Linked DNA regions of Rhinolophus ferrumequinum. The protein of the gene in region 2 interacts with the protein of the main gene of each other region in a pairwise test. Links are inferred from orthologs where the notes say so. Each region holds a gene or a part of one and is shown on either strand. Other genes may lie near its edges. The genes, in order: PFDN2 and PFDN5.

Region 1 (15,092 bases), on a different chromosome or scaffold from region 2:
GCCTATCCTGAGCAGGAAGTTGTTCTCCTTCAGCCCCTCCCTTTATACCCAGGGGCTGTGGTGTGAAGTGAGAGGACCAGGTGAGGAAATCCAGTGTGTAGCTGAATAGCTCTTTTCCCAGCTGTTCCCCATGCTTCAGGGGGGTGGGGACATCTGGCCTGTCATAACTAGAAGTGGGCTGTATTTCTGATCCACGTAGTAGAACCCATGGTATGGGACTAAGTGATTCCAGGGTGGGCCGCCCCTTCTCTTAAGGATGTGAGTCTCCATGCTTCCATTTTACGGTTACTGAGGAAGAGGGGACCAGGTCCTACTTGCTCCTCAGTTTCCTGAGACACCCCACCCCTCTGCTCCCGCCAGCTTGGCTCTTCTGAAGTAGCTCATTTTATTCTCGTTAACCCAGACCCAGTTGCTCGGTATAAGAAAGGGACAGACAGCCCCTTGTTCTTGAGTAGGGTGCGGTAGCAGGGCAGCCCTGCAGTGTGGGGAGGCCACAGCCAGAGCACAGCATGGTCTCTGAGTTGCGTGTGTCTGGTTTTAATGAGGTCCTCTTCCTCTTGGACTCCCGTGAGTTTGTCTCCTCATTGGTATTGCTGTGATGACCTCTCTGACATGGAGGTCAGTGTATGCGAGGCTAGGCCACTGCTAGGCACTGGGAATCTAAAGGCAGATGTAGTTTAGTCCCTCTAACGAGTTGCTTAAGATCTAATGGGACAATCAACGCACAAATAATTTTTGTACACGTTGATAAATGGCTTCAAGGAAACAGGACTGTCCATGGGAGCACAGAGGAGGGCTACTTAGCCACGTGGTGTAGAGAAGGAACTCGAAGGTGGCATCTGAGCTGACTCTCACAGGGGCAGTACGTGCTGCCCATCTGAAAGACGGTGGGGATGGGGGCATTCAGGCAAAGGGAGTGGCCTAAAGGGACAGAATGAATGGAGTGATGTATGTGCACTGTAAACAGTCACCTTAGAGAATGAGGTGGGTAGAAATTGGAAAGGTGGGCAGGTTTGGTGTGTTGTGTAAGGAGCTGGGAGTGTTACAGGTCAGGAGGGGCTGTAGACAGGTCTTTAGCAGAAAAGTGATGGTCAGGCATGCACTGTAGATAGCAGTTTAGCTGGGTGTGGGGAGGGGTTTGGGCGATACAGGCTGGAGGGAAAGTGCCCTTAAGGCGGCCGCTGCAGAAGCCCTGGTGAGAGCTCCCTGGGACCTGAGCCAGGGCGGTGGCAGTGGCAAGGTGAGGCCGATTTGGGAAATACTCAGAAGCAGCGTCAACAGGGATTTATAGGTGATTGGGTGGCTGGAGGTTGTGCTCAGAGTGGAGCAGTACTGGCGTGTGCTCTTGGGGGGCAGTGAGTATGATTGACTGGAGCGGACGTGAACGTTGTTGGACCTGAGGATGGGTCCTGGGCTGGGTCATTCACAGGATGAGGGAGGGGCTTTCTGAATCAAATGCCCGCTGATAGGAGCGTAGGGCTGTGACTGGTAAATGACAGCCATGAGGAAAGGCAGGAGGTAACATGTCCAAGTGGCACCTCCTGCCACTCAGCACGGGCATGGCAGGTGTGTGGGTGTGAGCCCACCACGGTTTTGGGTGAGTACTGATTGACCTCCTGGACTTGGTTGGCTGGTAGGAAACCTAAGGATAGGTTCTGGAGGGACAAGTCTGGGCTGCAGAGGTCCGGGATGCTTCTCTCTGAAATCTCTTTCATGACGATGTACATAAGGTTTACAAAGTGGTTTACATGTCTTTTCTAAGTGGATTCTTAAAGAGAATGAGGAGTGGTTTCTTCAATCCGTGTTTTGTAGACAGGGGCATTGAGACTTTGAAGTTAAGTGACTTGTTTAAGGTGACACAGCTAACAGCTTAATGATGCAGACAGAATCGAACCGTTCTCGCCCTAAAGATTTTCAGTTTCCCTGCCGTTCGTCCCTAAGTTCATCTGTTACTGCTTCCACAATGGAGTTGGAGTGAATTCTCTTCTTCTCCTCAATTTTGCCTACATTTAAGAGGTGAACTGGAGGTGGGGAGGGAACAAGGAACCAAAAGCAGTATTTTGGTGGCAGTAGGGCCAATCATGGTAACACCTATGAGCAACTCCTGCTGGAAACGCAGCACTGAAACTGCCCCTGAGTCTCCCTTAGGAGAAGTCACTGTTTCTCCACAATGGTTTTTCCCTGCCCTGCAGTGTAGCGGGGGCCCCAGCGGCAGAGCGGGACCCCTGGGAGGCGCTGCGCCCCTGAGCCCAGCATGGCGGGCCTGAAGCGGCGTGCGAGCCAGGTGTGGCCGGAGGAGCGTGGCGCGCTGGAGCACGGGCTCTACAGCCTGCACCGCATGTTCGACGTCGTGGGCACCCATCTGACACACAGAGACGTGCGCGTGCTCTCCTTCCTGTTCGTTGATGTCATCGACGACCACGAGCGGGGCCTCATCCGGAACGGACGTGACTTCCTGCTGGCACTGGAGCGCCAGGGCCGTTGCGATGAGAGTAACTTCCGCCAGGTGCTACAGCTGCTGCGCGTCATCACTCGCCATGACCTGCTGCCCTACGTCACGCTCAAGCGGAGGCGGGCTGGTGAGGGCGCCCGGGGCTGGGGGCTTAGGGGCAGGGGAGGCCCCGCGGGAGGGCTGCACCAGAAGTGGGGTGTCTTCCTGAATGACCCCTCCCCCACAGTGTGCCCCGACCTCGTGGACAAGTATCTGGAGGAGACATCGATTCGCTATGTGACCCCCAGAGCCCTCAGCGACCCAGAACCGAGGCCCACCCAACCCCCTAAAACAGGTGAGAGGATATGAAGTCCCCTCATTGCTGTGATCCCATCCTAGCCCCAGTTCTGCCGGCTTAAGTGAAAGGACACTGTCCCCTCACGTAGCCCTATAAGCCAGGTGAGGCACTGTTGCGTCACCTTGGCCCTTTGTCCCCAGGTGTCCACGACCTGGGGGTCACATCGTGGCTACTGTGTTCCGTGCTCAGTGTGATTCCCCCCTCGTTGCGTGGCAGGTGTTTGACTTTGTCCTCTCCCCTCTAACCCTTTGGTCAGTGCCTCCCCACTATCCTGTGGTGTGCTGCCCCACTCCGGGCCCTCAGATGTGTAGCAAGAGGCCAGCTCGAGGGAGAGCCACACTCGGGAGCCAGCGAAAACGCCGGAAGTCAGTGACAGCAGATCCCAAGGAAAAGCAGACATGTGGTGAGGAAGTGGGGGCTGCAGAGGGCACGAGGACTGCGGACCCTGGGCATTTGGGCTCGCGTGGTGGCTGCACAGCGAGGCTGGGGTGTCTCGGGCTCCTCCCCCTCTGTGGCAGGGTGCATTTCAGCTCTTTTTAGTTGATACTAAATCAAAGTGGTGCCATTGTGACATCCACATTGTACGGTGCCAGGTCATGACAAGGTAGTGAGGTGACTAGGAAAAGGCCTGTTAGAAGAAGGGGCCGCTTGTGAATGATGGGGAATCTGGCCTTGGCCTGGCCCACTTGATCCAACCTCCTGCGTTAGGGCCAGGGTCTCTCAGGCCCTGGGAAGGAACGAGTCCTAGGGGCGAGGTAGGGAGTGTCATGTGTTGCCCACCCTGTTCTGCCAGCCTTTCTCGCACAGCCACCCCTGACCGCAGCCTCTTGTGCACGTCTTCCTCCCCAGACATCAGACTGCGGGTCCGGGCGGAGTACTGCCAGCACGAGACCGCGCTGCAAGGCAACGTCTTCTCAAACAGGCAGGACCCGCTCGAGCGCCAGTTTGAGCGCTTCAACCAGGCCAACACCATCCTCAAGTCCCGGGACCTGGGCTCCATCATCTGCGACATCAAGTTCTCCGAGCTCACCTACCTCGACGCATTCTGGCGCGACTACATCAACGGCTCGTTACTGGAGGCGCTCAAAGGTGTCTTCATCACAGACTCCCTGAAGCAGGCCGTGGGCCACGAAGCTATCAAGCTGCTGGTGAACGTGGACGAGGAGGACTATGAGTTGGGTCGACAGAAGCTCCTGACGAACTTGATGCTCCAGGCCTTGCCCTGACCTCCTTGGGGCTGCCCCGCCACTCACGTCTGGAGCGCACACTGTTCTGTTCTGGGGTTTGTTCTTACCCTGCCAACCAGTCACAGCCCTGCCTTTTTTTTTTTTTTTTTTTTTAAGGAAAAGACAAAGAACTATGGAAGCGGTGTCCCCACCCCTCCCTGCAGCCATGTGCCTGGGCTTCCTGTTTGTCCCCCTTCCCACTTACCCCATGTGTCTACAGCCACCTTGCCACTGAGCCAGAAGACAGATGTGCAGGGACAAGCAAAGGCTGTAGCGCAGTCTCCGTTAAGGGACTGAAGTGAACACTGCGTCTGCGTGCGTGCGTGGGGGTCAGCAGTGCTACTGGCTTCATGAGGGCTCTTAAATCCTGTCTGAAAAACCAAAGGGCTGTGAGTAAGGGAGCTGTGTGGAAGGTGGGACTCGGAAGTGGGTTTTGGAAATTAATCACCACCCTCTCCCAAATTACAGAATTTTTTAAAAACAAGCTGTGGCCCTTCCCACTGTCTCCTGGCCTCTGGTGCTGCTCCTCTGCCTCATTCCCTCCACACCATGGCCGAGACCTCTGCCTGGTGTGGCTCCTCCTTTGTCCCCTTTGTTAAACCCTCAGGGGAGAGTAGGTAAGAGGAATAGGTCAGTCTGGTCGCCCCTCCCCACTGACTGCGGTGTGTCTGTGCACACATGCACGGGTGGGCGGGGCGAGGCTGCTGATGAAAATAGACTCCCCCTGAAAAGGGGAAGGGGGAGTGTGAGCCTTCCTTCCATGTTCAAGTGAAAATAAATGATGGACCCTGCAGCCCTTTTCCCCTTTGCATCCTTCTGGCTTGGGCACAGGGCACAGTAGGTGAAAGTGAAGGAATTTAGTATCAGCTCCCTTTTTTGTCCACCCCCGCCCCCACTCCCACTCCTGGGCTTGGGAGCATGGGGCCAGGCCATGCACTGAGTGTCGCACTTTTATGTAGGTAGGGAGGCCTGTGGCGTGAGCCAGGAGGCCTGGATGGCTCCTAGTCTGCTGGTCCAGCACCACCTCCCATTTCAGCTCCCGAAGGAGATGTCCACACACAGACTTTATGATTATTATATTTTTTTTCAATGCCAGTGCTGCTCAGCCCTCAGCATAATTTCAGTTCTCTTGAAATAAACAGTGACTATATAAAATTCCACCTTTCTGAAACTGAAATCTGAGCTCAGGTGAGTTTCTTCTTTGCCAAGAAGCTGAGCCTCCAAGTGAGGGGAGCTGCGCCTGGGTCCTGCCCATAAGTTACAGCAACCCCGGCTCACAATGGGGGTCTCAGCGCCCCAAAGTGAGAAGTCTCAAGACAGTGGGCCACCCAGACTGCCGTAGAGATCAGGCCTGCGGTGCTGGAACACAGGCAGGTGTTGGCGCAACTCGCGTAGATAACGGAGGTCGATTCGGGCCAGGCAGAGGCCTGGTCCCTCAGAGCAGCGGGCCACCACGGTTCCCCAGGGGTCCACCACCATGCTGTGCCCGTAACTTGCTCTCTTCTCATGGTGGCGTCCACACTGTGCTGCTGCCACTACGTAGCACTGAGCTTCAATGGCACGGGCCCGCAGTAACACCTGGGGGTGGGGATGTGTTTCACTGACGCACACACGTAGCAGCTAGTGGGGAACTGACAGGCAATGGACACTGCAGGCCAGTCTACCCACTGTGACCATTCTGGTAACTGCCTAGGAAAGATTTACGATGTTAACTGTTCTTTAACATATGAGAGGCAACAATCTGGAAAATGAATTTTCTCACTAGTTGGGAAGGGAGAGAAAGTCTGTCAACTGGCAGGGCCGAGGGAAGACAGGTTGAGAGAAGGTGTGTTTTGAAGAGGTGTCCTCTTACCTCCCAGTGGGCTGGGCCTGTTACGGATCCAAAAGCCGAGGGGTAGGTAAGTATTTCTGCTCCAGCCTGAGCCAATGCCAGAGACAGTTCAGGGAACCGCATGTCATAGCAGATAGCAAGACCAATCTGGAAGGAAAACCAGCCTGCTTGGTTAGCCCCCATCCCGTCTGTCACAACACTGCTACCCTACTCCTTAGGGCTGCTGCTCCTCTACTACATGCCAGTGTCCCTGTTCCCCTCCCTCTCGTCCTACTATATGCCAGTCCCACCTTGCCTGCTGGTGTGCTGACGGGGGACTTGAGACTGGGCCCAGGCATGGTAGAGCTGCTTTCATGCATAGGCCCCTGCCCCGGAATCTCTACGTCACACAGATGCGTCTTCCTGTAAGTGGCCACTACCGACCCTGGAGTAAAAGAGAGGAGGAAACCTGGGGCTGGTTCTCTAGAAGCCCAGCTTTTAGTTCCTCTCATCCCAAGGTGATAGTTCATAGGCCAGGAACAGAAGTACGGATACTCCTGTTGAGAATTCTGGAGAATTGTTTAGAAAAGCCTGGGAAGAGGCAGACTAGAGTTATGACATCTCACCCTCGCTGTCCAGAAGCACATGACAGTTGTAGATTTTCTGAGTCTGCTCCCAGTCTTGGCCACGCTCGTGAAAGCCACCCAAGGACAGCCAGAGTCCACATTCCCTGGGGGAAGGGGACACTGACACTTCTCATATCTGGCAATCCAGAGACATTAACCAACAAAGAAACTCCCTCCCTCCCCCTTTCCCTGGTACCTGGCCAGCTGCGTATATTCTCCCAAAAGGCTCCCACCCAGTGGCTCAGACAGGTACAGAGTCTCTGCAGGGTCGCGTGCAATGAAGTCAAATGCCTCAGGCAGGAAAGCCAGGCAAGCGCCCAGTCGGGCGGCCTCTCGAACGAGCTCAGCACACGCTTTAAAGTTGTGCTGCTTGTCTGGTGTGGACGTTACCTGGCACACAGCCACCAGGGGTAGTGCCCCGGAGGAGGAGGAGGAGGAGGAGGAGGAGGAGGATGGGGAGTGAGCCATGGCTCTGGCCCTGCGGAGAGCGCAGGCAGGACTCAGATTTCCCAGCATGGGGAAACCCAAGTTGAACGGCAAGGGGCTCAAATGGGGAGGCAAGAAAGCTGGACACCCCTTTGACGCTGCTGTACAAGGAACAATGGCCCACCGATCAAATGTTCTGTGGATGGCTCGTACCCCACTGTCTCCCGCCATCCATTCATCCAACAGACATTTGAGCACCTACTACGTGCCAGGCACTGAAGATACGACAAACACGTTACCTGGGCTGAGCACAGAGTACTGAGAGTCGAGGTATCCGGAGTCCAGGGCACAGAAGGGACAGGAGCTGATGAGGCCTTACGATGAAGCCCTGCCTGAGGAGAGTGAGAAATAAGGACACCTACCCCTCCCTCAAGCCGTGAATTTCTAGGCTTCTCTGACTTCTCTCTTCATACTGTGCCGCTGAATCAGGGCCCTGCCTGTCAACACCCCCCTCCGCGCCCAAGTCTTGAAGACGCTCTTTGTTACAGGTAATTATGGGCCACGGGAAGAGATCACAAGATGGGAAGAAGGACGAAACCTCGACTTCGCGATCTCGCGTTAAACGGAAGCCCTCGTCCTCTGCCCGACGTCTCAGCAGTCCAAGGCCTCTCCCAGAGACTTCCTTGGTGCTCCCCGCCTCTCCTTTGACAGTGCACCTCCCGCACACCCCAGTCTGACGGCAGGTTCACCCTCCCTGGTTCCCAGCACCCGCGGTGGACGGGGGCGCTGGCACGCGGGCCCCAGCCCGCGCCCCCACTCTCCCGTTAACCCGTCCTCCCTGCCCTCGCAGCGCGGGCATTTCGGCTGCACAGGTCAGAGCACCGCGGGCGGCATTCACCGCGGCCGGCGGGACGCGGAGGAGGCCCTCCAGGAAGACACGGCCAGAACCACTCGCAGGGTCCTAACCCGAGAGCGGCCTGGAGGCGGCGGCGCAGGGGCGAGCGGGCGGAAACCCCGCGGGCGGAAGTGACGCACGGGTCTGCTCTGCGCGCCGGAAGCCCCTCGGGCGGCGAAGATGGCGGAGAGCAGCGGTCGCGCGGGCAAGAGCAGCGGGAGCGGCGCGGGGAAGGGGGCGGTGTCGGCGGAGCAGGTGAGGAGCGGAGAAGGCGGAGGAGGGCAGCCGGGCAGGGCCCGGAGGCGACGCGAGAGGAGGGCAGCCTGTGGCTGCTGCGGGCCTCACTCCAGTCCCGCGCTCGGTGCCGCTCACAGAGGGGAGGGTCGTGGGAGAAGGCAGCCGAGCCCTGCGGGAGAGTGGGCGCGTTGGAAGCTGAAAGCCGCGCCGCCGTGGGGTGTTGGGTGAGCCCCCTGGAAGCGAGAGCCGTCAGATGCAGGGCCTGGGAAGATGCACAGGTCTGGCGGGACGTGGGTCGTCACGTCCCCCTCTTTTCCGCACCCTCAGACGGGATGTAGCTGGGCCGGGCCGCTCGTAGCGAATCCCAGGGGGTTCGTCCTCGGGCTGGTTGTGTAGTGTTACCCGACCCTGAAACCAAGTTGACAGTTGCAGTCACTGCAGAGCCACGTGACGCACATAGCCGAACACTCATACTGTTTTGAGTCGGGAGTCATTATTAGGTTGAATTTCTTTAGAGGCCAGAAACCCTCTTCTAATCCGAGTTTGCATTCCCCCTAGTGCCCAGCATCGGGCAGCGTTTTATAAATTAATCAGAACGCCTTTTGTGGTTTGGGAAGCATGTTTTGCTAATAGTGGGGCTACTGTTTAATAGAGATGAGAAGAAATCTACACAAGAGAAAGGAAAACATAGCTAAACAGTAGCTCTTTTAATTACAGATTCCTTCAGTAGTTATTCGTTGAACAATTACTCAGGCAAATGTATCAGCGTAAAGACGTCTTTTTTCAAACTGTCCCTTGCCATCGAAGAGTTCTAGTCTGCTTGGGGAAAATACTCGTAAGATAACACGAAATGTTAATATAAGGCAGACGGTAAGTGTCCGAAGAGAGCTATAAAGTGCTGTGGGATTTTGAGGAGGGAGGAAGACATAGCCTCAGATTTAGTTGGGGAAAAGGGAAGGGAGAGGGAACCTGATACTTTTTGAGGGTCTGCTATGTGCCAGATACTCTGCTGGGTCCAGGGAAACAGACGAATGAAATAGACCTTGTTTTCAAGGTAGCTTGACTCCTTTGAGAAAAGACAAACCAAACAATAAGGTTTGCAGTGTTCCACACAGGCCCTTATTTAGGGCAGCTAGAGGAGGGACCCCAACTAAGCAGGAGGTTATGGGATTGGGGGTGGTGGCAGAAAGGGAAGCTGTGGTATAGCAGGGTGGCTAAGACTAAGATAAGAAATGCACCGGGGTCGGACAGACATGTGTTTGACCATTTCTACCATAGAGGATGACCTCCCAAGAGTTACTTCTTCGGCCTTTCCTGCCCTGTAGAAAACCTAATGGTACCTACCTCTTCATTGAATACTGGTTATTAAGCAAGACAATGCATGCACAGTGTTTTGCACCGTGACTGGAATATAGTATGGGCTTAATAAGTGCTAATTATTTTGTTTTCTAGAAGAGATAATCCTTCAGCTCCATTCTAAAGGATGAGAGAAGTGAGTCAAGCAAAGAGGAAGTGGAGGATTTTCTAGGTAGAGGGAACAATGTGTTTAAAAGCACTAAGATATGAAACTGCCTGACATGTTTGGGATGCAGGTGAACTTAAAGTTCGAAATGGTCTGCAAGACTTGAATGTGCAGAAAATAGGGTGAAAAGAGAATCTAGGATGTTTCTCAGGCTTTTGTCTTTGATGAATGGTGGTGCCACAGGGAGTATAGGAAGATGGACAAGTTTGGGGGGAGGGAATAAGTTTATTGTAGGATTTGAGTTTGGGTTTCTTGTGGGACATCCAGGTAGAGACATTTATTAAGTGGTTCGACTTATGAATCTTGACTTCCAGAAAGAAATCTGACTTGGAGCTCTAAGGTAGAGAATTGTGGCTTTCTGGATAGTAGACAGAGCCACGGTTGTGGATGAAATCATCTAGGGTTTGTACAGACAGTGAAAAAAGAAGCAGAATGGGGTGGAACCAACATGTAAGGGTGGTGGAGAAAGAAGCCCTCAGAAGACACTGAGGAGTGTGATCATTGAGTTCTGAGACTGTTCTTGCTTAACACTCTGGCTTTTGTTTGTGTTCCAGAGAGAACGCTGGGTAAAAAGCATAAGATTTATCATTGCTGCAAATAGGAGCCACATATGTCACTTATAAACAAGATGGAAGCAAGTAACTGATTGTGCGAGGCACTTTACTGGTTTTTCTCTTCTGTTACTTAATTACTGCCATTGAAGTAGGCTGTATTGTCTTCCCTTATAGATAAGGACAGTTGAGCTTCAGAGGCTTTAGTTCACTCACCCAGAGTCAGTAACTGGAAGAGCAGGGCTTTTAATTGAGGGACTTGAGAATCAGACAGACCTACTTTTTTCACTTATACAATGATCAGACCAGAAGAACGTGAACTGAGCCTGAAGGAGTGGATAGTTTTGAACAGGGGTAGTGGAAACAGGAAGAAGGGGAGAACACAGAGCATAGATTGATGCGAAGGGCAGTGACCGGTTGTTTTAATGAAGTCATGAGGTATAAGTCAGAAAGATGTGATCTTCCAAGTAAGTTGGATGTTTGCACGACAAAGAATTCTGGAGTTGTTGATGGAAGCAGGGAGGGAGTGATAGAAGGGTATGTGTTCCACTATTGAGTTTTTTTCCTATTACATAAAATAATACACGTTCATTGAGAAGATTGTAGAATACACAGGGAAAAGTACAAAGTAAGAAATAAATTACCATGACCTTGCAATCGAGAGAGAACCATTCTTACTGTCTAGGAGCATATTCTCTGAGAGATTTCCCCTCCTTGTGTGTGTGTGTGTGTGTTTGTGTGTGCGCGTGTGTGTGTGGATAAAAAGGGAGGACGTGTGTATTTTACATATTTTATAACATTGTCATTCTACAATATATACTGTTCTATAAAAGTTGTATTATATAATATATACTGTTTTGTAATCTGCTCTTTAAGCTTAATAATACATCATGAACATTTTTCTATGTCATCTAAGTGTTAGGAAAATGAAACCAGCAGCAGTGTGTAGGATGGATTTGGAGAGTCCAAAAATAGGGAGATAATTTAAAAGACTTGTACTAGTTCAGACAAGAGGTAATAAAGGCTTGAATTAGGGTGATGTCGTTGAGCCGAAGAAAAACTGCTGAGGTGGGTGCAATAAATTTGGCAGTTGATGAGATACGGATGTGTTCAAAGATGGAACCGGGGTTTCCTACCTGGAGGGCTAGAGTGCTGTCGTTAGCAAAAATAGGGGAGACAAGGAGAGGAACAGTTTAAAACAGGGTGAAAGGTGATCAGCTCAGCTTTAAACGACCTGAGTCTGAGGTGTTCCTAAGACATTGAGGTGGAGAGGTTCTGTGATAATAGCAGCACTGTTTAATGACAACCTGTCAGATGCTGGCTATTGTCCTAAATCCCTGATGTAATCAGTTACTCCCCACAACATCCTATGAGACAGATGATGTTTCTGTTTTTCTAGAGAAAAAACTTAGATTCAAAAAAGAAATAACTTGCTCATGGTCAGACTTGAGCCATTTTGTCTGACCCAAGGCTCCTTCCTCTAACTTGGGAATGTGGGTCTAGAATTTCTGAGAAGGTCTAGCTTGGTTGTCAATTAGAATGAGGGCGATTGTTGAAATCATAGAAGTAGCTAAGAATGCCAACTGAAATCATATAGGTAATAAAGGGAGGGGTACTTGGAACAGAGTCTTAGACCCTGTCTCCCTTGTAGGGGTGAGAGGAAGAACTTACAGAACAGAGAACGAGTGAGTGTTGGGAGAGGTAGGAGAACCAGAGAACGAAGGGTCCTGGAAACTAAGAGCTGAGAGCCTACGTTCTGTCAGACACTTGACTGTCACTTCAGTGTAGCTCTCACTGTTGCCTGTGGCAGTGGCTCTCAGCCTGCTGTGATTTTTGCGCCGAGGAGACACTTGACCTGGAGAGGGCCTGGGTTGTCACAAGTAGGAGTTGCTACTGGCTTTTAGTGGCACATTGCTAAACGTCCTGCAGTGCAATGGACAGCCCCCCAGAACAAAGAATTATCCCGCCCAAAATATCAGTAGTTCTGATGTTGAGAGACTCTGCCCTGTGGTGTATTAGCTCCGTTTTTGTAAGTGAGTAAACCAAAAGAAGTTAAGTAACTCGGTCACATAGCAAGTAAATAGCCAAACTAGAATTTGAACCCAGGTCAGATTAAAACATTTGGAGTCTTTCCATCATACTATGTTGCTACTTAAAGGAAAAGGTTTCAAGCAGCAGATTGAAGATTGAGAAAAGGTCGTTGGATTATGCAATTATGTAGGAGGCCATTCACGATCTTTGAGAGGACAATTTAGTAAGTACTAATAGTTTATAACTAGTAAACACATAAAGCAATTAGAATGCATCTTACAGTGTGTGGGGAGTGCATGGGAAGTGAGGAAGTGGAGGCTGTGAGTACAGACTAGTCCTAAAAACTTTGATGACGACAGGGAGGAGAACCATTATTTGATGGAGTAGTGAAGTCAAAGAAGTTTTCTTCGGTCGAGTGGAGTATTTTTGTCAGAGAAGAGGGCACTAAACTGGAAAGATAATTAGTGGAGCGATACCCTAGAAAATCCTTTTCCAGATGCATCCGATCGTAATTCTCCTCTTCCATTGATCCCAGTAAGAGTAAACAGGAGTTGCTCGTTACAAAGCTTTTCCTGATGCCCCCCTTTCCTTGCAAGTCCAGGAGCTGTCCACCTACCCACATTACAAATGGCTCTTCCTCCACCATAAACTGCAAGAGGGACCTGCATGCATCTCCCACTCGGGGGGCTCTGCGAGTGTCGGGTGAATGGAAAGCCAGGCAGACTGAAGTCAGACGTGCCAGGTTGTCCTCGTCCTTTCCCAAGGCATCTGTGTGCTACTGCAGCTTTGCCAAGCCTGCCATTTCCCGTCTCCTCTCTCACTTCTCGTCTTTCTCTCCTTCTTAGGTAATTGCTGGCTTCAACCGCCTTCGGCAGGAACAGCGGGGCCTGGCATCCAAGGCAGCTGAGCTGGAGATGGAGTTGAATGAGCACAGGTCAGGGAGCCGGGAGACGTGAACAAGAGGACAGTTGGGAGGCCACTTTGTAGGGAGGGTGGCAGTACAGTGGACCTGGGTCTCAGGCCCTGCCTTGTCCCCACGCAGCCTCGTGATCGACACGCTGAAGGAGGTGGGCGAGACCCGCCGGTGCTACCGCATGGTGGGAGGTGTGCTGGTGGAGCGGACTGTGAAGGAGGTGCTGCCGGCCTTGGAGAACAACAAGGAGCAGGTGAGCAGGAGGGGGGCTCAGGTTGTAGCGGTTGCCGAGGAGCCGTGCTCCTCACGCTGTTCTGCGTCCAGCTCCTGGACGCGAGGGCCACTGGCTGTGTGCCACTTTTTCCCAGTCGCTGACCTGGCTGGTGTGGGGGGGGGTGGGTGGGGAGGGGGTTCGACTAGAGTTCCTCACAGTGGAGTCCGTGGATACCTGCATCCAGATCACCTGGGGGACTGATGTAAAACGCAGCTTCCAAGGCCCTCTCCTGATTCAGAACCTTTGCATATGGGGTCCATGAAGTGGCATTTTTAAAATAAGCAGCCTGGGTGATTCTTATGTGCCCTCACGTTTATGAACCATTGTGTTTGAGAAAAGAAAACTTTTGGCTTCTGGGTCTACTCTTACTTCCAGGTTAAAGGTGAAGTTAGAGGTGTCAACCGTAGTCCTTACGCGGTGGGGGAGGGAGTCCTGGAGTTCTTACGGAATCGCTGTCGCTTGTCCTCTAGATACAGAAGATCATTGAGACACTGACACAGCAGCTTCAGGCAAAGGGAAAAGAACTAAATGAATTTCGGGAAAAGCACAACATTCGTCTCATGGGGGAAGAGGAGAAGCCGGCCAAGGACAGCTCAGAAGGGGCTGGGGCTAAGGCCAGCTCGGCTGGAGTGTTGGTCTCCTAGGACCGAGGCTGTGGCATCTTTTCTACCCTGACTCCTACATCTTCTAATTTGTCTTTATTGTTATTATTATTTTCTCTGCTATTGTAATATTTTTTTTGTTAATTAAATGTTTTGGTCAGAATGCTTAGCTCTAGCCTGATGCTTTCTCCCACAGTTAGGGCTGGAATTTGCATGGGGACAGGGAAAAGCCTATGATTTGTGGCTTTTGATCCCATCAGGTTAATGGCTCACAGTATCAGAGGAGGTCCCTTATTTGATCCTTTCCCTTGCAAATAAAGATGTGTCTACTTATTTACTGCCCTCACCCAAAAGATTCAGAGACCAATGTTGACTTTCACGTTGAAGTTTAATAAGCATTTGACACGAGGCAGGTAACTCTGGTGATAATGCTTTATGAGTTTAGGACAAAACAAGCTTGGCGGTGTGTCTTGGTACCATTCATTAGATAAAGAGGTCCAGGATGCAAGCCTGTGGACTAGCTGTCCTGCCATCCTCACCAAAACCTCCAACCAGGTAAAGCTGATCATTCCAGAGGCAGGTCCGATGGCCTGTGCGTTTCAGCTCACGGTCTGCACAGGCAAAGTGGAACCACAGGGGAGGAGACTTGCCTGTTGGGTAAGGCAGAGGGTGGGTTTTGGCACCCATGGGGCTCCAAGACCAAAGGCTTGCCCCTTTTTTCTCCTCACTTGATTGGCAGGCCTCTTCAAAATTCAGTATTCTGTGTATTCCTTTAACTTGCCAACTAGTTCTCCTTGCCCCACCACTTTACCCTCTTTCTTTCTCTGGTTCCAGGTTCTCCCATCTTCCCACCGTCCCGTCCTCAACCATTAGCTGTCTCTCACGGGCATCGTAGATGTAGAGGTCATTGCAGATGGTGTCTCTAGCTCTGGTCAGAGTCTCTCCACCAAATAGCACAGCAAAGGGCCCCACCACAGAACACGAGTGATGCCGTAGTCCTGCGGGCCCCTGCCGGGACCCTTGCCCACTGCTCACAAGCTTTGCAAGCTGTTGCGTCAAACGGGGGGCAGCAGGTGGTTCCTCCTTGGGGGAGAAAGGAGGGACTGTCCGGAGGATTGGGGCCGAGTTGTAGCCCCTTCCACCCGAAGCAAGGTGTGAGTAGGTAATAAGTACCGTGATCTGCCCAGGAC
Region 2 (15,411 bases):
GTAGCCAGCTATGCTGGTAGAAGTCTAGTCTCTGCAGAAACTCCTCTCGAACCAGATCCATTGCACGTTTGAACCCAGCCTGGAATCATTGGAATCAGAACAATGGTGCTGGCCCAAACTTTTGACTTTGCTAGGATGAGGGGGTAACCACTCCCATTTCCTCCCGAGGTTCTTACATGCCACACGGTCTCTTCCCCTGAGGCCCTCCTTACCTCTGTATCTTGGTCAGGCTGGTTCCAGGTGGGATTAAGCCGGGCAACTCGGGCACTCAGCGTAGTGGTCAGTGCATATCGAGGTTCTCCCTCCTCCCACTGGGAGATCCCATTGTCCACTGCATCCACTTCCTCCACGAAGTTCTCATACATCTGAGGCAGCAGCAGGAGAAATGCTGGAGGGTACCTACCATTTGCATAGTTTTACAGGTTTCACACACACTCTTTCATTTAATCTTTACAATAGCCCTGTGAGGATCTCAGTATCAACTGGATGAGGAAAGTGGGAATTAGCGAGTGCTTAAGGTCGGAGAGCTAATACCATGTTTCCCCAAAAATACGACCTAGCTGGACAATCAGCTGTAATGCATCTTTTGGAGCAAAAATTAATATAAGACCTGGTATTATATTAATTATATATTATATTATACCTGATCTTATGTTAGACCCGGTATTATGTTTATTATATTGACCCAGTCTTATATTCAAAGAAGACCGGGTCTTACATGAATTTTTGCTCCAAAAGATGCATTAGAGCTGATTGTCTGGCTAGGTCTTATTTTTGGGGAAACATGGTAGTGAGTGGCAGGGCTGGAACTCAGATCGTCTGATTTCTAATCCAGTGTTCACTCTATTCCACACAAAGCCCGAGCCAAGACCAGCATGTATGGGGTAGGGGCTGCTGACTTCTGAACAAGATCTCAAATTCCACGAGGGGCGCTGTGAGAGTGGATCCCTAGGCTGAGGGAGGGCAAATCGCCAGAGGGGCTGAGTGGGCTATTCAGTGACCGGTTAATGAAGTCAAGGAGGGTCTAGCCAAGCACACTAGTCACGTGGGAGGGAAGGGAGCTGGTTAGACGTCAAGCATGGGCATGTGATCCCAGAGAAACCCACAATGTGCCATGTGGCACCAGTAGTTGTTGCATCTCCTGAGCCTAGAGAGATGGCAGGACAATGCCTCAAGAGTTTGGAGGCAGAAATGATACAGAATATCAGTGTTTAATGCAAAATTGCCACACAAAATAGACCTCCATATCAACACCTCTGTGGTATGTACACCAAGTGCTACTCTCAGGGCGGCCGAGAAAGAAACTCCCATGCTCAGCACCTCTAGGTCTGGACCCCAACCTGATACTCAGTTAAATCTCGGGTGTAATTTAGTTCAATTGCTTAGAAACCCCTCAGCAGAGCGCAAACTGACCCAGGCAGGCTACCACCTTAGAATTCCAAAAGCTCCAACTGAACCATTGACATTTCTTCACTTGTTTGGATCATAGTAATGCTGTCATAGGGACACAAGACAGGTAAGCGGAGATAAAGACATGAACTCAACAGCCTGTCTGCAAACAATGAAGCTGACTGAATCTTCAGTGTGACTTGTGCACTTCACAGGAGTAGGGTCAAGGTGTCCAGAGTCACTGTTTGAGCCAACATGAATGCCAGGGCCACTAGCCCTGTTCCTTCTCCAGCAGCAGGAGCCTGCTGTGAGTTGCTTTTAGGGGATGCTGGTGGGACCTAAAGATATTTTCTCAGTCAGACCCTTCCCCACCGAGCTTCCCAACTCGTGTATCTGGTGAATTCTAGTGGTGCCTGACATGTGCTCCCTTCCCACTTCAGGGCATCCAGACCCTCCGAAGCACATGCTTCCAAACATAAGCAAGTTGTTGAACAATCATTTTTTAAAGTGTCAGGTCAAGAAAAACACTGGGAAGCACTGCTTTATGGTTTTCAAAGCCCATCCCCGTATGTTACCTCCTCCACTTCTCACCACCACCCCAGGATGGAGGCAGGAGATCAGTAAGATGAGCCTGAGGAAGATGGTGGTAGGCTAGCTATGGGCCAGGAACCCTAACCTGAGGCCCAGTCCTGAGTGCGGCGTGAATGTGACTCCCAGCGGCCTGGTGGAGATGCATGTATGAGGCATCTCTGTCCTTGTGTCCCCACCTTGTCATAGAGAGTGCCCACCATGCTGTCTTCTTCATTAGTGCCCAGCAACTGGGCCAGCAGCTTGTGCCCGAAGTGCAGATAGATGAGTCCCGCACTGCTCAGCTTGGTCTGCCATGGCTTTCCAGGGCACAGGGAGCTCATGGTCTCTGTGAAAGACCTGAGGAGCACAGGGAGATGGCGCTGAGGCGGAGCTGCCCTAGTTAACCCACAGTGTGCATGCATGTGCAGGCACAAGTGGGGGTGGGAAGACTGGGGAATACTGCAGGAGTTGGGAAGAGAAAGCCCAGCTGGGGAGGCTTTGGATTTTCCTTAGGGGTCAACATGGACCTCGGCTTGGAGTCTCCATGCATTCATTTGACAATGGTTAACTCAATGCTCACTGCATGCCAGGCTTTGTGTTTAGACATTGGGGATAAAAAATGAATAAGATACTGTTCAAGTTCATCTACTAGAGGCAGACAGACACACAAACAGCCAAGCGAATGCTCTAGCTAGGTTATAAACAGAAAGGGGGTGAGGAAGGGTTCAGGAGGAGAACTTGCAGGTCATTCCTGAAAGATGAATTAGTGGGTGAAGGAGAAAAGGTATTCCAGGTAGAAGGAATAACATGTACAATGGCTAAGAGACAGGTCTCCATGGAATTGCAAGAAAGGCAGCTTGGGTTTGAGGGTTGAGTAGCAAAAGAAAGTGGAAGGGTAAGCAGGGGCCAAATCATGGCAGGCCTTGTATGCGATATTTTGGAGTTTGGACTTCATCTGCAGGTAATGGGAGCCACTGAAAGACTTTTAAGCAGGCAAGTGCATGTTAGAAAAAGTATTGTGCCAGCCAGCATGGTGAACAGATGCAAGGAGAATACCTGTAGTGGTCCAGGTATGCGAGAAAGGCAGGACTTTGCATAGTAATGGGATAGAGAATAGGAAAAAGGTATGACAGTTGTTAGGGAAGTAGAAATTATAGCTGTAATTTCTAAATGCCAGTCCATCAGAATCACCTAGGGAGCTTATTTTTTTGTTGTAATGATCTTTATTGTTAAAAACTGAGTAAATACAAAAAGAATTATAAAATATTCATAAGGTATATATAGAGAGACTCATAACAAAAACTCCCCCAGATAAGGTTCAAACAGAAGCAAAACCAAATAAATTGTTGCTGGCAACAGACGTGCTAAACTATACACAACAAGGGTATGATGAACACACAATTCAGAATATTGCTTACTTCTGGGGGAGGCGTGCGGGGGGGTAGGATAGGGAAGAAGCACATGGAAAGGTGCGGACGCAAAGGTAACGGGAATGTTACAGATCTTAGGTAGGGACATTGGTTCACCAGTGTTCATTTTATGTTTTATAGTCCAGAAATGTTCGGCCAGCAACCTGAGTTTGGTTTTGAGGTCACTGGTGCCCTTTCCTTGAGTATGTCTAATGGAGAGATTGGGAGAGAACCAGCTGAATGAATAAACCAAGGAATGAATGGTATGAATTGAAGGGATGTGGAGCTAGGGTCAGCTCTTCTTTTGAAGACTGACTGAGAAGTGAGGGTGAGAGATTAGGTTGTAAATACCTGGAGGGTTCTCTCCCAACATCATTTATGAAAATAATATGTACACTTAAACAAAAGAGGGAGGAAAATACGTAAGACTTCAAACAAAATAATTTATCTTCATAATTCCTCAGAGATAACCACTGTAAACAATGAGGTATACATGAGGGAGAATTTTTTTTTGATTTGTTCCTTTGTTTTTAAGATGCGAGATGCCTGAGCGGAGTTTTAAGCTGCCAGCAAGGAGAAGTAGAAACACTGGTGGGAGACTTGCGTTGTGAAGTCCAAGAGGAGAAAGTAATAGATTGGAAAGGGGGCAAACAAGGGAACAGTGTTTCCTGAACTGGAAGGAGGGAGCTGAGGATGTTTGAGAGTGGGAAACAGGACATGCATGTAGGAGGAACTAAATTTCCTTGGAAAAGTAAGAGGCAGGGTGACTCGCTGAGGGATTTTGATGAGGTAGGGACATGAGGAGAAAAGAATTGGCATGGCAGTGTGGATAATGGGGTACCCTTGGAAAAGACAGATTTCCCGAGGGAAGAGTGTAAATAAAGCGAAGACCACACACACCAACTACCACCAACCACCACAATCACGTGGGCGCAGCAGTCTGAACCGGGGCAGCAAAGGCACATGAATGGATTAGTCCCAGCTGGGGTATTAATTGGCCTGACGACGGTGCTGGTGGGAGAAAAGTCTGAGCCAAGGAAGGAGGTGAGCCGTGAGGAGCCTACGGACTGACTGGGAGCCAAGGGCGGCCCGGGCAGATGCAAGGGTTCAGGGAGGTCCAAGGACAGGTGGATGGGCGCAGAGCAGGCGGAGAGCTAGAAGGATGGAGGGCTGCAGCCTCAGGGGACACAAGAGTTTGCTGTCTAGGATGAGGCAGTCCCTTTGCTGACACGGACGGCTGCATTGGAGCACTGAGAAAACCTGACGTGAAGAAAAGGTATCTGGGAACCCACCTCTGGTGATGGTCATATCGGTGTCTCTTGGGGTCGTATTCGCCACCCACGTCCACCACGATGTCGCAAGCAGCTAGTTTTTTGGGGTCCCGGGTCCGTACAATCTCCGCATCCTGCAGGGGAACACAGGTGAGGGGGCTGCCAAGAGCAGCGGGGGTTAATGTGAGGTTCCCACGGGAGCCGGGGAGGGTAGGAGTGCTCAGGCCGCCCGCCCGAGCTACCCCAGGACCCCGTTAGGAAAGGCGGGCAGCCCCAGCGTTTTTGGCAGGCTGTACCCGGTACTGCGGCAGGAGACGCAGCAATGCGCACGCCAGGGCCTCATCGCAGTGGAAGGTGCCGTTGTGCGTTCCGATTCGGGGCGCAGCCATGAGGCGGCTGCGGGGTCGCTTGGAGGGCGGCACGGACTCCGGGTTCAGCATGCGAGGCCGCACCTGGTGGAGTGGCGGAGGTAGCAGCGAGAGGAGACCGCGCAGAACTCCGCGGTCCATGCAGCTTCCCCCGCGCGCAGGCGGGGGCACCGACCCGGAAAGGGAAGCGGCCGCACAGCCCCACTTCCGCTTAGCGGCCGTTCCCACAGCAACCGGCCCCGCAGGCCGGGCAGGGTACGCAGCGCAGGCTTTCTCTCCCGCTCCTCCAGGGGTCCGAATGGAGCCTCCAAAATAAGCGCTGCCTCAGGCTCTGGGGACAGGCACACCCCCTCCACCACTGCCCTCCCAGCTCTTCACCAGTCCCTGGCTTAATGCAAGAAAAGACCAACATTTCTGCCCAGGTGGAACATTTATTAGCATTAAACATCCAAAGCCCTTCTCTTCCCTCCAAAAAAGTCCCAGGTCCCTCTGCCCCATTTCTGAAACAAGCTCTCAGGCTTTGGCAGCCTGAGTCACTCCCAGGGCTGTGAGCTGCTGAATCTTCTGGCTCATCATCTCCATGACAGCTGTGGGGAAAAAAAGACCCTGGTCAGGTGCTAAAGGGGAGAACCCAGAGTTAAAGAAAAATGACAGTGAAGTTTTAAGGACAGGTAGACGACCAACTACAATTAATAAAACTTTGAACAGTGATCCACTGTGGGGTACACACACACAAATTTAGAGTCTACAATGTGTCAGTAAATATGACAACTACTGGGATATAAAAATGAACAAAATGCAGTATTAAATGAATCAGACATAACCAGAAAATTATAACGTGGGAAAGATTTTTGCCTTTGGGACAATGGTTCTCAATCCTGACTGTGGAAAGAATCACCTGGGGAGTTTTTTGTGTTTTTTTTTTTTTGAAAAAAACTGAACCCTGGAAACCCTGCCTGCCCTCAACCCCACCACCACCACCCAGGTTGACTTAGTTGGTTTGGAGTGGGCCCAGGCTTTTTAAACTCCTTGAGTGATTCTAATGTACAGCCAGGTTGCAATTGCTAGTACTTAGGGCTATATTTATTTCTTGTGCGTTCATTTACATGGATCTCCTCCCTCACTCCATCCCCATGAAATAGGAACTCTGCAAGAACACAGGCATGAATTCCTTCCTCTAAATTTCTCAAGCACCCAACCCAAGTATCTACAAATAGTGGGTATGTAATGCACAGAATCTAGAGAACAACACATCAAGACACCAAAGAGAAAGACATGGTTTTAATCCAGCAAAGGGGACACCCCCGTGGTTCTCAAGGCAATTCATGTTGTCTATCATGGAGGCAGAAAGGGTCAAGAGGTGCCCATACCAAGCTTACCCTGTTTCATGGCATGCTTCTCCTGCAGAGCTGGCTGGATTTTCTCCATTTGCTTCGTGAGAAAGTCTATCTTCCTCTTGAAGAAGTCCTTAGCATCCTCAGCTGTCTAAAAGGTCAGAGGTGGATGAGGGGTTAACAGGACACCCCATGCTGCATTCTAAATCTTCCCCTAAACTCCCTTTCCCTGCTTAGAGGGGCATCCACATGCTTCTTTCCACTCACCTTCTCTACATAGTAGCCAGTTCCCACATCGATGAGCACGTGTTCCACATCATGTAGCTTCCCAGGGACATACATCTGAGAAGCAAGGATTAAGGAAAAACTAGCCCAGCATGAGTCATGATTCCTTATCAGCAAGCCTGCTTGGCCTCCTAAGAACCTCTTTTGCTAAAAAGCTACAAGGCACAGGGACTGAATAATCTGGAGGCCTTAGAACAACATCTATAAACTCCAAATGTGGAGAGACAGAGAAGTTGGTTCCTTATGGAGAAAACGACATACACTGAACTACTCTCTTGCCCTGATCCCATCCCCCACCCTCCAAGCAGTGTTTACAATTCTTCCCATTAGTCCCTCCAGAGAGACTACAGTATTTTCCTACTGTAAGTAGAGTAGTAAAAGTGAAAAGCCGGTCTCACTTCCCCTCAACACCCCCAACCATGAACTAGTTAATTCCTGATGGATTTAATGTTCATTAGTTAGCCAATCCCTACTACATTGCTATTTCCGTGTTTCTGTTTTAGCTTGTCAGTTCTCAGACTGCAGGTGCTGTACTGTGGTAACCTGATCATTCAAGTAAAACAATCAACAGGTAGCCACAATCCAGGTTTCTTAGTAACAGTTTAGGAATTAAGAGCCACAATTACGCTGAATTGAGGATTAATAAACAGAGCCAACTCCCTTGTTCCTATATTCTACCCTTCTATGGCTTATGTCTTCTAAGTTATTAGTAAAAGCGTAAACCACCAGTTTTATCTCCATGTTAGATTATATCCTCAAACAGCAAAGGGAAATAATCACACCTCAATTCTACATGCTCTTTGGTGCTCACAAGGCATTAGCTGCATGTCGGCCCCAGGTTATACATAAATAGGAGAGCTGGGCATATAGTAAGTGTTCTCAGAATCATGGGGGCACTCTGGAGTCATCAAAACTACACGCCTTTTTTGCGGAGCAGGGGTGAGGGAGAAAGGAAAGGGCAGGGAGTTCCTGTAGAAAGGATACAGAACTCGTCAGGGGGACGAGTAATTCTTTCCCTGTGAAAACAATTAAGACAAACATCTGGGGAAGGTTGGCAGCTCCAACCTTAAGAGGTTGAAGGGAGTTCCTATATGGCACAGCGCAGATAGTATGAAAAGAACAGAAACGGGCGGCAAGAGCAGAGGAATGTCCCGTACATTTCAATTCTGGATAGGTAACATGCAAAGGGCTCACGCTGCAGTACATAATACGTAATGAATTGTTTTCTCGTCTCACATAAGGAAGACTGGAGTAAGGGGCGGGACGAGAGAAGCCGGCTCACCACATCCCCCAGGTTGCCTTCGCGCGCCTACCCCATACCCTCGTTGTGCTTGTTCAGCACGTTCAGACAATCCTTGGCTTCCACATACTTGGTCTGTACCACCTTGAGCTGGGCAATGGACGTAGACAAGAATTCCACTTCCTACAGAGTTCAGGAAAGAGGGTCAGTGCAGGGACTGGAGGGGGGGGGGGCACCGCCAGAGAAGGGGTGGGGGTTTCGCAGGGGAAGAGAAGCCTTCCAAAGTGGGGAGGAATGGGGGGGGAGAGGGCGTACGCGTGGACAGGAGGGATGTGAGGCGGGAAAGGAGTATCTCTGGGGCCCGTCCCCACCTGGTCCAGCTGGTTCTTGAGCATTTCCAGCTGCGGTAGATTCAGCTCGGTGATGTTAACCGACTGCGCCATATTGGGAAGGAAGACTCAGAAAGCGGAAGCCGGCTTCGCGAGCGACGCTCTAGCTGTCCCTCTGCGCATCTCGATGGCTGTGCCTGGAGGCGTCGCTGCGCCAAACATCTCTATGATCCTCCGTCCCGAAATGGAATCTCGCCTTGGATTAGAGAAGATAGCCGCACGTTCTTTTCATAAAACATCCCAAGCCTGGCGTAGTCAAGTTGTAGTAAACAGGACTCCTGCCTTCAAGGAACTTAAAAATCTTAAAAGTACTCAGGCTGTAACCACAATATTGCAGAGCAATGCTTGCTACTCCACGTGGGCGGTATAAACCCAGTGACTGACAGGCAAGGAAGACGCCTGTGAAGTTCTTGGGTCAAGGGGAGTAAGTAGCATCGGGACAGTGGTGCTTTGGGAAGATGAAGCAGGAGAGTCTGTTGGTGAAGAGAACAATAAGGAGGCAAGTTATCAACCAACTACAGCACGAGGTTTATTAGTAAATACAATGTTTTACCATGTGCTAGATGTGAGGGATACATGAATGTGTTCGATCAGTGCTTCTGAGATTAACAATTTAATTGGGGAGCGAAAAGTCACACATAAGCAGCAGACCACAGAATCTGAGGCCAAACCAGGCCCAGCTTTGTCCTGTGGTTTTGCCCTTCTTCCCAATACTCTCAGACTTGAACTGCAAACTGTTCCGTTTACAATACCACATAGTGGGAGGAGAGTGGAGAGGCACCCGTCATATTCAAATGTTTTCAGATGAACTACACAAAACAAGGTTTAAGTAATATGTCTTTATTATATTAAAGTTAAATTAAAAGATAATGTTTCATATAAAACACTGGGGGAAATCACTTAAAATATTTATCCTAAGGGTTAAATCGAAGTATGGGAGGTAGAACAGTCATACGGCTTCTATCAGCAATAGGACAGCTCCAAGGAGTCACCGCAGGGAGACAGGCAAGCCATAGGCTACAGGTGCAGCCCCAATAAGATACTTGAGTCGGGGAGCCTGGCGGGCCTGGTTGACATAGTAGAGAAGGGGGGCTCCTGGGCCTGCTCCAAGCCAGCTCTGCAGCAGTGCCTCTGTGTAGCGGTCGATGTCACGGTCGGTCACATCCCAGAGGTTACCTAGAAACAGGGGACTGGGAAAAAAGAAGGAAGAAGTACAAAGGGCTCTAAGACAGAATATATAGGAAAACACGATTGATGGTGGTGGTGGGTGAGTAGAGGACTGAGCCAATGAGGAAGTCCCTTGGCCCATAGTTCTAGGAGAGAAGATGGCACAAGGGCCCAGGCATGTCAGGGAACTAGGATGGGAGGAAGGTGGGGCACAAGGGGAAGGATTTAGGGTTCAGACCTGGAAAGAACCTGGGGTTGGGACCTAGGATGGGCTTTGCCCCTCGAGACTCACCAGCCAGCCATGATATACTTGAGCACGATGCCAGCGCCCTCCAGGTTTCCATGCACAGCTAGGGCTGCACTGCTGCAGCCAAACAGCAGGGCCACCGCCCGGCAGCTCAGCCTCAGGACAGCCTGCCCATCCAGAAAGCGGGCACCGGCCCCATGCCCTGCATAGCTAAGGCAGAAGAAGCTGAGATGAGTCTGACCTAGCTGTACTAGGCCTCTGCTTGTCTCCAAAGGCATCCTGAGTCAGCCAGGAGCTTTAAGCCCCAAAGCAAACCCAAGTGATACCCTCCTCTGGGACTGCCCCTGCCCCCACCTCCCGGCCCTAAGCACTCACATATATAAGTCATGCTCCGTCAGGGCCGCCTGCACCTGTTCTGGGCTTGGCACCTCCCCAATCACCCCTTTCCAGCCAGCTTCACTGCAGGGAAAAAGTAGTAAGAATAAGGGTCATGTAGTTAAGAAAGAGGGCGGGAGAAGGTGGGCTGCAACATCTGATTCTAGAGAAAAGGACATGTTGCCCCTATACATTGTCTCTACCCTTCCCCACCCGCTTTCTTACTCTTATCCTCCTGACCTGCTAAAATTGGCTCGAAATTGCTCCTCTGTGCTTGAAAGGTTGTTGTGAGGGTTTAGAACGTAGAAGGTACTGCGTGGATCCACCCCTTGGCTCAGCACTGACGAGGCCCCAGACTGAGGAGGAGACACTGGTGATTATGATCCTGGTCCAGCCAGATGCCCAAGCTCCAACAAACTGCAAGCCCCGTCCCACGGCTCATCCACTCCTAGGACACTCTCCTATCTTCCCCCAATTGCCAATCATCCCCAGTCCCCACTCCTTGAATCCCACCTCTTTGGTGATGGCGTAGCTGAGTAGGAAGCGAAAGGAGGGCAACCGAGTGACAGGCAGTGCCCGGAGGCTGGGCATGCTTTCCCATGGCAGCTTCTGCAGGTCCTGGGCAAAAAGCACTCAGAGGTTTGTCCCGAGCCGGGTATATGCAGAAGTGAGAAGGGGCGTGGGGATGCGTTGGTGCCCACTGCCCACCAGACGCTGCCCCTCTGCCTCCTAGCTCCTTACCTTGTCCAGCACTAAGACAAGGTGCCTATTGCTTGGTACTTTCTGCCCCTGTAGACGTCCTACTGCCTCACTCAGGAGCTCTTGGGCTCGCTCTGGCCGGGCAGGGCACAGCCCGTAGGCTAGGGCCTGAATGTCCTGAGGGGTGAGTCTGCTGGCACCACTTAGCATGACCTGAAGGGGAACAGTGGTCAGTGAGTGCCATAGCTCCCCCATCGCCACTCACAATGGCAGGTGGGAAAGAACTGTCTAGCTTCCTCCCCTTCCCTGATTTCTCAACTCACTTTCAGCAGAGTGGGGTCAGGATATTTCCAGCCACATTCCTGCAGCAACTCTTGCAGGTGGTTGGCCTCCTGGGAGGGGCCAGGGTCCTCACTGGATGGCAGCAACAGCCCCCTCCAGCAGCCCAACACATGCTTCTCTAGGGAAGTGATGAGGGCCTGAATGAAGAAGAACCGCACCTCCAGTCAGAGAGGAAGCTGAGTTTCTCTCCCCGCAGACACCAACATTTTAGAGATGAGGAAATGGGTTTTCCAGTAAATAGGTTTGCCATAAAAGGCAAGAAGTGGAAACATTTTTCATTCGCTGAGACCCTGGGGGAGTGTAGGTAAGATGATTTGTTACATATCACTATGTTTTAGCAACTATGAACAGGTGGGCAATGAAAGGTAAAGCCAGGAAGCTGATACTTGGGCTTAAATCCTTTTTCTTGTATGTACCTTTAAACATTCCATTGCCATAACCTTCAAGTTTTGGGCCTTTGTTTAAAGTCCTTCCCAAGTAACAGAATTTTTTATTTAGGCCTCCACTTCCAGAAAGGACTTGAGGTAGCTCAGCACTGACCTGGCACCCTTCAGAGAAGCCCCCAGGCACGCACAGGTCATTCCTAGGGTAGGCATGACCCCACCCCACCCTGGGAGCACACACCTCCATCCTGTGGTCCAGTTCTAGCCGCCCTGTCCACCATTCTCGCTTGTCAGTACAGCTGCTGTTCTCTTTCTGTTCCTTCTGGATGGCATCAAACTCTTTGAGGGCCGAACTCAGAGGAAGCTTTGGGAGATGGGATTGTGAGATTTCTACCTGTTCACGTGAGCCCCATCTCTCTGTCGACCGCCACAGAAATATGAGCAGCTTGACCAGAGGCCTATCCCAGCCCAACTTTGCTCCCTAGACCCGGAGACCTACCTTGCTCTGGGCAGTGGGGATCTGCACAGTGACCGGGGGACTCTCTTTTTCCAGCCGGGTCAGCAGGAGGGTGTCACCCACTGTTCCAGGCTGGAGGGTGGCCAAGGCCAACACACACACAGTCACCCCTGACACACAGAACAAACCCAGAATCATTTCAGCTGTTACAAGGAATGCCCTAGACAACTCTAAGAAGCCTTTCCTGCTCACTGGATTTCAAGGTGTTCTCACAGCTCCCTGGGGACACAGACCATGTCTTGTACTTCTTTGTGTCCCTCACAGAAATGAACAAAGGGTGCTGCACAGAAGGAAGCACTCAAATCATGTGTTTCATGTTAGCGTAGGGAGACCCTGGACACCTGAACTTATCCGTGGAGAAAGACATTGAATTTACTGGTAACTCAAAGTTGAGGTTAAAAAAAAAAGACTAGATTTAGGGTGTGCCTGTTTGGTGAGAATCACAAAATGACTAATCAATGAAAAGGTAGGACATGTCTTTTCATAAGGATCACAAATCTATGTGAGCTAACTAGTACCTTAAACACCTTCACCCAACTCTTCAGTAAGAAGATGAATAAAAGGCCAGGAGAACCAGCCAAAGCCAGCTACCATACCCCTGGGGATCAGAGCCAGGCGCTCCCGGAAACTCTCCTTCTCGGGCTGGGGGAAATGGCCAGACCCTGACGTCCTGAAGGAAAAGAGGCGCTGGATGCGGGTCAGGGGGACATCTCCAGGCCTCGGCTGGAGGCTCAGCCCCTGGAGCTGCTCTGCTATTTCGAGTGATCCTCGGTGCTTCTGGGCCTTGCTGCAGGCAACACAGAAGGGGTGAGTTCTCCCTCCTTCAAAATCTGGACCCTCTGTCCAGTCTGCCCAGGACAAACCTTAGGAATGGTGGGCACTCACCTTAGCTGCCTGTGGAGGTGGGTGAGCAGCTGGTGGCGACAGGTGATGGAGACAGACTCAGTGATGAGGAAGGCAGTGGCATAGGGATCCTGCTGTCCCAGACACAAGGCCAGGAAGCGGCAGAGGTGAGCATAGAGCCCGCTAGGAGGGCAGTGACTGACCCCACGGAAAGCAACGCTCAGTGAGTCATAGATGGAATCCAGCGTAGAGACACCTAGAGAGAGGTCAAGATACTTGGCTATAGATGAATCCCCCATTTTCTAGCTGATAGGAACTTGCCAAGAAGGGGTCCCTATCTCGTCTCCCACTTGGAAAGTAGCAGCCACCACTTACGAAGGGCAATGTGCCAAGTAGGGTGCTGTGCACCTTACATGCATCACTTTGCTGTCCTCCCCAAACCCCACTTTACAGTTAAGTCAATAGAAGCTCAGAGAGGTTGAGTGACTTGCAAATAGGTAGCAGAGGACTAGAATTTAAACTAGAATCAAAGGCTGCAGATCCAGGTGGGGATCTAAAGCCAGAACCAAGACAGACCGGAAAAGCATTGGGATCAAGAGACCCAGCGGCGCAGCCCTCTCCAGGTGACCAGACCTCACCAATGGGTACCGGGGCGGAGGGGCGCTGCAGCCGAGGACGGAGACCCTGGTCGCGCTCTTTATCTGGGCACAAGACGGGCAGCTCCTCTTTGCTGGAATCCCGTCTCAACACCTCACATTCTCCTATGGCTGCGTCAGGCCCTGGAGCTGCTGTCTTCCCACCTGGGGAGAGAAGATGACTTTTCTGTGGAACAACCTCCTTCTGCCATCCCTTGTTCTCCCTGCCGTATCCAGTCCAGAGTCAGCAAGAGAACTTTCTGCACTGTCTTTGGCACCGGTTATGTCTTGTGCGTTGGTCCCAGGGCAGCCCCCTGAAAACATATGTACCTTCTGCCTTCCACCCCTGCCCTCATACCTGACGTTAACTCTTCCCCGTCAGAGCCCCTGAGGATCTCAAAGCTCATTTCCATCTGGTTGTCAGTCAGCTCCTCCTCAGGGATGGTCCTCCTAATCTCAGGGCTTCGCTCCTCACGATGCCCAGACGCCACCTTCTTGGGCCTCCGGCTCCTGCCACTGAGGCCCGAGTGCCCAGGGGTACCGCCTGGGGCAGTCACTGCATCAGTCTTCCAGCTTGGGCCCTTCCGAGCCTGGCCCCGGCCTCGGCCTCGGCCCCGGCCCCGGCCCCGGGGAGCAGCGCCCCGTCTCTGGGCGCCCTCTGCCAGCCGTGCCTCAACTGGGTCTTCCAAGTCACTGTCATCACTGAAGATTACCTGCGATGGGCGGGAAGGGAGAAGGGCCGCGGGGCCTTCAGTGATATCATCCGACAGCAGGTGGCGCTGTGGAGGCACCAGCACAGAAGCCTTTGGGGAAAATTTCAGAACCTCCCACACAGACTGCCACACTCAACCAGGGGCAGTAACTCCTGGGTGCTGAAGGAGGGAGAGGAGAAGGGACCAGAAGATGAGGAGGGATGAAAGGGGAAAGGAAGCGTAGAGTTAGGGAAAGTGCCTTCTGTCTGAAACAAAGGTAGACTTGGAAGCAGGTCTTGCTGTGGAAGATGTAGGGATCCTGCAGGATAACAGGAGAGCTCAAGGTCCCATCAGTCCCTGGGAAGCTGCTCCACAGACACCTGCGCTGCGGAACTCTTCTCCAGGACCACCCAACACCAGCACCACCCAGCCAGTCCTACCTCACCTTCAGGCGGGTCTGGATCCTCTGTTGTACTTTAGGGGCCTTGGGAATCTCAGGCTTGTTCTTTGTAGGGGAGACTTCCTCAAACACGGTGAAAGGGACACAAGGGCCAGCCTGCCTAAGCCGGCCTGGGGGCTTAGGTGTACAGGGTGGTCCTCCACCTTCCAGACCTTTCAGAGAGGTATTATGGAGGGGCAGGGTAGCAGAGACCACTTGCTGGCGCCCTCGTCCAGAAGGTTTTTGGTTCCGAAGCTTAGAGGACTCTGAGCCTGGGCGGGGCTTTACTGATGGTGGCTGCCAGCCCCAGGAGTTTGCAAAAAGCTGCGTAGTGCAGCAGCTGAGGCCAGCCAGCTTTGCAAGGGCCTGAATCAAGAGCAGGCTGGCTCGCCAGGGCTCCAGGTGGGGTATCCGTGCTGCCACAAACTTCAACCCTGACTTCAGGACTTTCTCCAGGCTCTTGTTTGATGGCTGGCTCAGCCCCTCCTGTGCCAGCTGTGTATATGCCTGAGCCAAGATCTCATCGAAGAGGCTCGGGATGGGGGAGGTGGTTGCCTTGTGATTCAGGGAATCTTGTAGAGCTTGGGTGAGGCGCTCAGTGGCTGCAGGGCAACCCTTCAGGACAACCTGCAGCAGATCCAGACTCTGGGCCTGATGACCCATGGCTAGTCTCACCCGTGCTGTGACCAACACCCAGCGTAGACAGACTGCCGAGAGGACAGGGCTAGCACAGAGCGAGCAGTCACAGGTGGGCAAATGGGTCAGGAAGCCAGGGCTGGGCTGGGGCTTTGTTTTCAGGATTGGGGAGGAGTTAGTA

The links.
Region 1: the proteins of PFDN5 (region 2) and PFDN2 interact in binary tests that used the Homo sapiens proteins (3 or more experiments, as listed by UniProt). The link is inferred for Rhinolophus ferrumequinum from reciprocal best matches to the Homo sapiens genes PFDN5 and PFDN2.

What each region holds. Positions count from the first base shown.
Region 1 is NC_046305.1:2,292,060-2,307,151, reverse strand, and holds PFDN2 (prefoldin subunit 2), read left to right. Parts: upstream 1-7,886; 5' UTR 7,887-7,952; coding exon 7,953-8,027; intron 8,028-12,958; coding exon 12,959-13,047; intron 13,048-13,155; coding exon 13,156-13,279; intron 13,280-13,770; coding exon 13,771-13,944; 3' UTR 13,945-14,071; downstream 14,072-15,092. Other genes in the region: DEDD (death effector domain-containing protein), read left to right, coding at 2,255-2,579, 2,679-2,786, 3,046-3,192, 3,639-4,015; NIT1 (deaminated glutathione amidase), read right to left, coding at 5,327-5,593, 5,868-5,993, 6,137-6,270, 6,452-6,555, 6,648-7,108; KLHDC9 (kelch domain-containing protein 9), read right to left, coding at 14,386-14,552, 14,787-14,985, 15,076-15,092. UniProt on the Homo sapiens protein: Binds specifically to cytosolic chaperonin (c-CPN) and transfers target proteins to it. Binds to nascent polypeptide chain and promotes folding in an environment in which there are many competing pathways for nonnative proteins.
Region 2 is NC_046293.1:53,184,108-53,199,518, reverse strand, and holds PFDN5 (prefoldin subunit 5), read right to left. Parts: upstream 8,393-15,411; 5' UTR 8,310-8,392; coding exon 8,238-8,309; intron 8,050-8,237; coding exon 7,947-8,049; intron 7,643-7,946; coding exon 7,611-7,642; intron 6,684-7,610; coding exon 6,609-6,683; intron 6,493-6,608; coding exon 6,387-6,492; intron 5,595-6,386; coding exon 5,521-5,594; 3' UTR 5,419-5,520; downstream 1-5,418. Other genes in the region: MYG1 exonuclease, read right to left, coding at 1-79, 213-365, 2,157-2,316, 4,661-4,773, 4,936-5,148; ESPL1 (separin), read right to left, coding at 9,244-9,445, 9,715-9,879, 10,045-10,128, 10,285-10,400, 10,558-10,662, 10,786-10,956, 11,067-11,222, 11,710-11,832 and 6 more. UniProt on the Homo sapiens protein: Binds specifically to cytosolic chaperonin (c-CPN) and transfers target proteins to it. Binds to nascent polypeptide chain and promotes folding in an environment in which there are many competing pathways for nonnative proteins.